Linked DNA regions of Coturnix japonica. The protein of the gene in region 1 interacts with the protein of each later gene in a pairwise test. Links are inferred from orthologs where the notes say so. Each region holds a gene or a part of one and is shown on either strand. Other genes may lie near its edges. The genes, in order: GPR37 and ADRB2.

Region 1 (4,511 bases):
CGATGGCACTGCTAATGGAGCCGAGGCTGCCCAGGGGACAGGTCTGCTCCATGTCTGCAGTGTTCCTAGTGGTGTCAGCATTGACGGTAACACCCATGAGGTCGGAACTGCACTCAGAAAGTGGCAGACATTGGCTCTAATTCCCACCTCTGTCTCCTCAGGGTCAAATCATAGAATCATAGAAATACTTTAGTTGGAAGGGATCTTTAAAGGTCATCTAGTCCAACTCCCCTGCAATGAGCAGTGTTTTCTTCTACTTACTGCTCCCAGGGTGACGAATATTCTTTACATGCGTATTATACTTAATGACTAATGAACAAAATATGTACAGTTCTGGGAGTGACATGGTACCTCAAGGCTCTCTCTACTCAGTTGTTCGCCTCAGATACAACTTAATTAAATTTCCTCTGGGAAGAGGAGAATGACCCCAGTAATGACCAAGCCTCAGACAGGCACCATTGGGCTGGTCCATCATCAGTGGATGGCTGACAGTTCTTGAATAAAAGTTCAGCTGTGGGCATCTGAGGAACTTTAAAGTGAAAACTAAGGTGACATTAGAGAATAAAGGAGGGGTCAGCAGCTGCCTGATGCCTTCAGGATTACAGCTACATTTGACAGCTCCATTTCAGCTCAGGTAATTCAGAAGGGGGGAGAAGGGAGGGGAAAGTACTGAAATACTAAACTTAGATCACTACTTTAAATAAAGTGGTCACACTTTAACTGAAGCAGGAACTACTCATCTACTGGATAACACAGCATCCCTAGAAGTGAATTCAGAGCTCTCAGAAGCTCCTGCCCAAAGCTCCTATTAGCATTCTCAACAAATACATATTTCACCCTTCACTTCTTCCCAAACCCAGGTCAATGGAGTGTACCCTAAGCTTTCCAGATCACGGCATCAGTATACTAACTGGCTTCAGTTCCTCTGAGTACATCACAGCTCCACTCTTTGTCCAGTACTGCAAGTAACAGAGTGCATCACACAGAACAGAAGTGATGGCAGTGTAGTGGCTGCACGCTCTATCTTAAGACCTCCATAAAAGTATCGTTTGGCAGCTGATAGTGGAGACTGATATTCTATGTATTAATAACAGGGTTAATTTTTTTCTTCCCTTTTTCACACCTCTAGTATCGCATTTGTACTACAAGCAAATCAACAGTTTCTTCTCAGCTTCCAGTTTAGAGAATAACACTGAGCAGAAGGATTTGGGCGAAGAGCAGAGAGAGACAGCATACCGGGCTCCCACTCCATCTCACCCCTCATCTCCAGCACATGAATCCAACTCTCCTCCAACCTATCCCAACTCAATCCCCGAGTCATTTCACTTTAAGGGGGGGGGGGGGGAAAAGAAAGAAAGACTAAAACTTGTAATCAAACGTTGCGAGTACTCCTCGCCTTTTCAGCACCACGAGGAGCGATAAAAGTTTGGCAGAACTCGCACGAGAGGAAGCGCTCAGCCGGAGATACGGGGATCCCGGAGCTGCCACCCTGACTGACCACGGGACGCCCCCCGGAGCACGGGACCCCACGCTACGACACGAGGGCTGCCCGGGATCCGCTCGCCCCGCCGTTACCTCGATGTAAGGGACGATTTTGCAGGAGAAGTCCTCTAGGAGCCACTTCTTGGTAAGCTCCTGGAAGATGACCAGAGGAAGGCAGAAGAAGAGGATGAGGAAGTCCCAGAAGGCCAGGTTGGCCAGCAGGGAGTTGGAGATGCTCCGCATGTAGTAGTTGTGCCACACGATGCACATCACCGAGAGGTTCCCGATGATGCCGATGCCGAAGATCACCACGGAGAGGCACATAACGGCGTAGGCGCCGTACGACTCCTCGGTCAGCGGGTAGAAGGGGTTCCGGAGCCGGGCTCGGCGCCCCGTACCATTGCCGCGGCCCCCGGCGGCGCTCTCACCACGGGCAGAGCCGTTCAGCGGCAGCCACCGGGGGCCGCTCCCCGCCGCCGCCCCGACCCCGCTCTCGCTGCTCCGCGCCCGCCGCCGCCCGGGCTCCGCCTCGGCCCCGCGCCGGGGCACAGCGGCGACGGCGCGGCGGCCCGGGGGGGCGAGAGGCGTCGGCGCTGAGCTGGAGCGCTGCGGGGGCGCCGGCAGAGCAGAGCCGGCGACGGGGAGCAGGGCGCAGGCGGCCCAGGCGCCCAGCACCGGGCAAAGCAGGGCGAGGGGAGCGCGGAGCTGCCGCATGGCCGGGAGGCGGCGGGGCTCAGCCGCTGCCCTTCGGCTCGGCGGGGCTGGCGGCGGGGGACATACCCGCACTCGGAGCTGAGCTTCTCGCCGCCTCCCGGGGCAGTGCCCGAAAGTTGTGCCGCCGCCTCCGCCGCGCGGAGTTAATGTAGCGTGTGCGGGGCCGGGAGGACCCCCCCCGGCGCTCCGCCCTTCCGCGGGAGCGCTGCCGCCCCGCCGCCTGCCGCCTATTTACATCCAACAGCGGGCAGCGGGGCTCTCGGCTGGGAGAGGTCCCCCGGGAACGCCGCCCATACCCGGGTGACCGCGGCCACCGGCTCCTCCCGGAGAGAACAGGTTGTCGCGCGGAGCGCAGCGTGTTTGAGATCTTTGCCAAACTCCGTCCGTCGGCAAGCAACGCGCTCGGGGTAGATGCAGTCCCGGGACCGACCCCTGCAGGATGCTCCCGCCTCCGGCTGCAGCGAGAGGGCGGCGACCGCAGCTCCGTGCGGGAGCTGAGAGGTGCTGGTCGGCGGGTTGCTCCCGGCTCAGCCCGGTGCCGCTGTCAGCCCGGTGCCGCTCGGTCCAGCTCTGCCCAGCCCGGCTCGGCGCAGCGGCGGCTGGGGGCGCGTCGGAGAGACGGGCGAGCAGCGCGGCTGCCCCGCAGTGCGCAAGCGCCGCCCGGCGGCACGGAGGGACCGATCCGGCTCCGGCGAGTCCGATTTTAGTCGGTGATGGAAGATGTGGCCCAAAGCACCACCCTTACGACTGGACTGCGCCGGAGGCATCCCCGGATGGTGCTGAGACCCATGAAGGCTGCTCTGCTTTTTTGTTTGTTTGTTTTGTTAGTTTATTTTCCTGTTTTGAGCGTCTTTTAACGCTTATGTTTGTTGTCCTTGTTCTGTCTGATAAACTTTATAGCTCTTCCTTCTTGCTTCCTTGATTTTTATATAATTCAAGCGTTTTTTTAGCTAAACAAAGTTGGATACGCTAACCTGTAAGTAGCCTGAAGCTCTGTGCAGCTCCTCCCCACCACCTTTAAAAGTTTTACACTCTTTCTAAGAAGCACATTGAGAAGTGTTCTTGTTCCCCACCCTTGAGCTGAAGCCGTTCTGTTAGATCAGTAAGCAGCTGGAGCTGTGCTCCATGGCTGTGCGTCTAACAGAGCTGTGGGCTCCTCTTGTGGACAAGTGTTGCGACCCCGAGCACAAGGAGTGTGTTTGCAGGCTTTTTGTCTTAATGACCAACAAAGGAAAATGTCAGTCTGCAGTGACAGAAAATACATGCTGCACGCACACGGAGCCAACCTGCCAGATGCAATCAGGAACACGCTGCTGTTGCTTTGTCTCCGCAGGGCAGAGGCAAGATGTAATGCCCATAAGATTCTTTGTATGGATTGTTTTCTTACAGTTTATTTCACAGAATTATTTGAGTTAGAAGGGAACCTTAAAGATCATCTAGTCCAACTCCCTTGCAATGAACAGGGACACCTACAGCTATGTCAGTTTGCTCAGAGCCCTCTCCAGCCTGACCTTGAGCGTCTCCAAGGACAAGGCATCCACCGCCACTGGGCAACCTGTTCCAGAGCCTCACCACCCTTATTAAAAATCTCTTTCCTCATATACAGTCTAAATCTTACCCCTTTTAGTTTGTGATCGTTTCTCCCTGTCCCATCATATCACACCCTGCTAAAGTCTGTCTTCTACTTTCTTAGAGCCCCCCTTTAGGTACTGAAAGGCTGTTTTCAATCTCCCAGAGCTTTCTCTTCTCCAGGCTGAACAGCCCCAGCTCTCTCAGCCTGTCTTGGTAGGGTAGTGTTCCAGGTGAGGTCTCCCCAGCACAGAGCCGAGGGCAGGATCACCTCCCTCAGTCTGCTGGCCACTTTTGATGTAGCCCAGAATCTGGTTGGCTTTCTGGACTGGACAAACAATAACCCACCCAAGTGGCAGAAGGGAAGCATTGCATCAAGGCACTCGCTGGACTGACTTTGCTTTCAACAGAGGGCAAAGTGCCTGGGATCAGGAGCATCCAACATCATCTACATTGAGTGTCTGGAGGTGCCCCAGTACACTACCTACACCAGAAGGATGACAAAAATTGACCTTTGAGTGGCTAAAAGGAGTGAATCCTGTCCCACACTAACTGAAGAGCAGTGCCTTTCCATGGTGGTCGCACAGAAAGCTCTCAGGACCCAGGTGCCATCCTGCTCCTGACGCCATTCTCACACATAGAGTTGGAATGTAACTGTGGGCAGCCTGAAATGTTTCTAAGCATGTGGAAACAGGTATAATAAATTTGGCACTGCTGCATGGAATGCTCCTTAATATAAGTTATGC
Region 2 (4,262 bases), on another chromosome or scaffold:
CAAATCTGAGCTCCGACCCTCCCAGACTCAGTGTGTTTTCTCCTAAGCTCCCAAAGCTGCCTCTCCTCCTTTCAAGACAGCACTTCTTGCAAGGATAAGCATGAAATGTCTATTGGAACAAGGAACCTGATACTTCCTGAAAGTTGTGATTTAGTGTCAGAGCATTTCCTGATGTTAGCCTTACAGGAAGCAAACTTGCCAGTTACTACCATAGACTTACCTTGATCATTTGGCAGAGTTTTCTGACCAGGTCTTCAAATAGAGCATTGGACAGTGAGCTGAGCACAACATGTAGTTCCCACACTCATCACTTTTCCCTCCTGCTCTTCTCCCCCAACATTACATCTGATCCACCTGCATTTTCCTAGCAGTTTTCTGCTGTGTTCTCCCCATGAGGTGCATGCACCGTGCAGGAACCTCAGTGCACAGGAGCCTGCAGGTGTTAAGCCTGTATTCAAGGATGGAACAGATCCTCACCTGGTGCAAAGCCAGTGTGATGTTACAGCCTTCCACCAGCTGGCTGCAGCCATACGTTGCATGGATTGCGTGGATCCCTTTAACTCAATGGTGGGCACTGAAAAGTCCTGGTAATTAACTAAGGTCATTAGTGCTCCCCTGCACTCTTGGCTGCTTCACAAGCATTCCAAAGCCACCCGTTACAGCCCCTGAGCCAGAAGCACGAGCTGCTGCAACTGCAACTTCATCGTGTTTCCTGATTCCAGCACCTCGCTCACCCCTCGGTGTTAAACCACAAAGCTCCCCCTGCGTGCAGGCGGCTCCTGTATTGATAGCGCTGGCTGAGAGGCTGCGGGCAGCCCCCGCTCACATACGGTGCCACCTGCGGGACGGCAGCACGAGGAGATGGGACCCTTCCGTGCACAGCAATGCGCAGACATGGCGTTCCAGCCAGAACGTTATCTCTCGTGACACTGAAGTTTGTAGGATCCCTCAGCCCTTATTTAGGATATTTGTTCGCTTTGGTGGCAGGGAGCAGCGCAGAAGTCACATAACCCCGTGTCGGGGTGTCGGGGGGCAGCGGGACCGCAGCGTGGGGAGGGAGACGGACGCCTCCGTTCTCAGGCTGTAGCGTGGAGCTGGAACACGCGTGGGGCGGCTGCCGGGCCGGGGGGCACACGGGGGGGTGCGAGGTGCGCGCAAGGCGCGGCGCCGGCTGCCATTGGCCGTGTCGGGCTGATGTCACGGCGGGTGTTGCTATAAGCTCGGCGGCGCCGAACGGGCTGGGGACAGTCGGGCGGGTGAGACGCTGCGGGACGAGTTGGGTCGGGTGAGGAGCGGGGCGATCTGGAGCGGAGCGCAGCTCGTACAGCCCCGCACGGCGGGAGCCACCGCTCACAGCCCGCACCTGCTGTTCCCTATGCGCGGAGCCCGGCGAAACGCCACGACATCGGAACGCTGAGAGCAGCCCCCGCAGCCTGCCCGGGGATCCGGCTGGGGGGACATGGGGGTGGAGGGCACCGAGCTGCCCGGCGGCAACGTCAGTGCCAACCAGAGCGCAGCAGACCCCACGGTGTCGCGGGACGTGTGGGTGGTGGGCATGGGGATCCTCATGTCGCTCATCGTGCTGGTCATCGTCTTCGGCAACGTGCTGGTGATCACCGCCATCGCCCGCTTCCAGCGCCTGCAGACGGTCACCAACTACTTCATCACCTCGCTGGCGTGTGCAGACCTGGTGATGGGACTGGGTGTGGTGCCCTTCGGTGCCTGCCACATCATCATGGAGATGTGGAAGTTTGGGAACTTTTGGTGTGAGTTCTGGACCTCTCTGGATGTGCTTTGTGTCACCGCCAGCATCGAGACCCTGTGTGTCATCGCTGTGGATCGATACTTTGCCATCACCTCCCCATTCAAGTACCAGAGCCTGCTGACCAAGAGCAAGGCACGTGTGGTCATCCTGATGGTGTGGGCCATCTCGGCCCTCACCTCCTTCCTGCCCATCCAGATGCACTGGTACCGGGCAGACCGTGATGAGGCCATCCTCTGCTATGAGAAGGACACGTGCTGTGACTTCTTCACCAACCAAGCCTATGCCATTGCCTCCTCCATCATCTCTTTCTACCTACCGCTTGTGGTCATGGTATTTGTGTACGCCAGGGTCTTCCAGGTGGCCAAGAAGCAACTGCAGAAGATAGACCGGAGTGAGGGCAGGTTTCACATCCAGAACAAGGAACAGGACCAGAACGGGAAAACCGGGCACCGCCGTTCCTCCAAGTTCTTCCTGAAGGAGCACAAAGCTTTGAAGACCTTGGGCATCATCATGGGCACCTTCACGCTGTGCTGGCTGCCCTTCTTCATCGTCAACATCGTGCACGTCATCCAGGACGACATCATCCCCAAGTACGTGTACATTCTCTTGAACTGGCTGGGCTATGTCAACTCTGCCTTCAATCCCCTGATCTACTGCCGGAGCCCAGACTTCAGGTACGCCTTCCAGGAGCTCCTGTGCCTCCGCAGGTCTGCTCTGAAGATGTACGCTAATGGCTACTCAAACAGCAACGGCAGGAGTGACTACAACGAGGAGGAGAACGGCTACCCCCTGGCACCAGAGAAAGCCTGCGAGCTGCTCTGCGAAGAGGGCTCCTTCCCTCACCCTGAGGACTTTTTGCACTGCAAAGGTACTGTGCCTAGTGGGTAGCTCTGAGATGCGATGGGCTCTGGCGTGGCACACTGCTCCTAACGATGAGCCTTCCTCTAAGGAAAAACAAAAACCCAGTAATAATAACGATCCTCACCTAAAGCACACCTAAACCTCAATGGCTGCAAGGAACCTAAAACTCAGCAAACCTCCTGCAAACAGGTGGAAGGCTGCCCTGGGTGGCTTGGGTGGGCTGGCTGCTTGCAGAGGTTATGAATTTAAGTGCACGACCTTAGGTCCCTTGAGCCGGGGGGGTGAGGAGTGCTGGGGGATGGTATTTTAAGGCTGTGCAGAAAGCTCGTCCCAGGAAGAACTTCCTGGCTGTGGCCGATGTTGAACTACCTCATGAGCTCGGTGCTGGCGGCTGCTGCGGGAGCGCTGTGCTCCCCGAGCTGTGCAGCACCTGCCCCCATATCCCCCCCTTTAGGGATGCTTAGAGCTCTGTCGGCTGCGTCTGATCCTGTTGCTGTCAGTGGGAAAGTTTAAACAACGCCCGGAAAAACAGAACAAAACAAAACAAAAAAAAAACAAACCCACGACAACCACGAATGCGTCTTTTGCCAAGTGCTATAGGACTGTCCGCTGAAATAAGGATAGAAATAAACGGAGTCTTTGCCCAGAATGTGATACAGTGGGTGTGGGACTCAGGAACGTGATAATGGGAAGCTGGGCGATACGCTGCTGCAGTCGCAGCCCGTCCTTTTATCGAGACCGCAGCCAAAGCTCTTGTAGCCGCCCAGTTTAAATTCGGCTCTCAGCCCGTAGAGGTGGGCAGGGAAGGTTTTATTTTCTGTCGCTGAGGGCTGACAGTCCGGCAGCGCAGCCCTGGCCGCGGGACGGCTCTGGGTTGGTCTGTCGGTTTGTTTGTGAAGGGTTTTTTCCCCTTGCAGCGGGCTTTGCATTGCGTTCCCGCAGCACTTGGCGGCGGGCGCATGGGCTGTCACGGTGGCAGACGCGAGCGGGCAGGTGGGGACGGACGGACGGACGGACGGACGGACAGGGTGGCTGTGCTGCTCGGCGCTGCTCGGAGACCCCGCTGGAAGAAAGCAGCGATCGCGGGGCTGAAATGGAGCTCCCCCCCTTCGCTTTCTTCCTCAGCTGCAGTTTGAAAGAGGGGAGCCGAGGAGGATGTGAAAGTGCGGTGTCTATAGAAGCACGTGGGAAAGATGGGGGAGGGACGGCCCCGCGCCCCGTGGGAGCTCTTCTCCCCAGGGTTGGCACCGTTAATAGGAGGCTCGCAAAGACCTGGGCTGTTCTGCCCACTGTTCCTGCAGCCCCCGAGGGTGCGCCCAGGGAACGCTGGATGGGATCGGCTCATAAGGTGCTGCAAGGTGCAGGGTGGCTGCAAACTCATTCTTGAGCCCTTGGCGTTCCTCATGGTAAAGCCCCACCCGGTTTTGTGGGGAAGGGTTTAGAAATCCTCGTGCTCCCTTCTGCCTTCCCCCAGGTATCCCAATCCGGTTTGGGAGGTCAGGCAGCCCCTTAGCCCTTTCCTAACCCTATGTTGGATGCTGGCTCTGCTCTGCTTGCAGCCTCTCCAGCTTGGTGCATGCTACAGAGTGGCAGGGAATGTGTGCAGCAGAGCTCTGTGTCACTGCCAGCTTTGCTG

Evidence for each region.
Region 2: the proteins of GPR37 (region 1) and ADRB2 interact in a protein complementation assay, tested with the Homo sapiens proteins (2 studies listed by BioGRID and IntAct, with this or other methods). The link is inferred for Coturnix japonica from reciprocal best matches to the Homo sapiens genes GPR37 and ADRB2.

Annotation. Positions count from the first base shown.
Region 1 is NC_029516.1:20,448,620-20,453,130, forward strand, and holds the start of GPR37 (prosaposin receptor GPR37), read right to left. Parts: upstream 3,050-4,511; 5' UTR 2,197-3,049; coding exon 1,576-2,196; intron 1-1,575.
Region 2 is NC_029528.1:10,594,252-10,598,513, reverse strand, and holds the start of ADRB2 (beta-2 adrenergic receptor), read left to right. Parts: upstream 1-1,237; 5' UTR 1,238-1,459; coding exon 1,460-2,633; intron 2,634-4,262. UniProt on the Homo sapiens protein: Beta-adrenergic receptors mediate the catecholamine-induced activation of adenylate cyclase through the action of G proteins. The beta-2-adrenergic receptor binds epinephrine with an approximately 30-fold greater affinity than it does norepinephrine.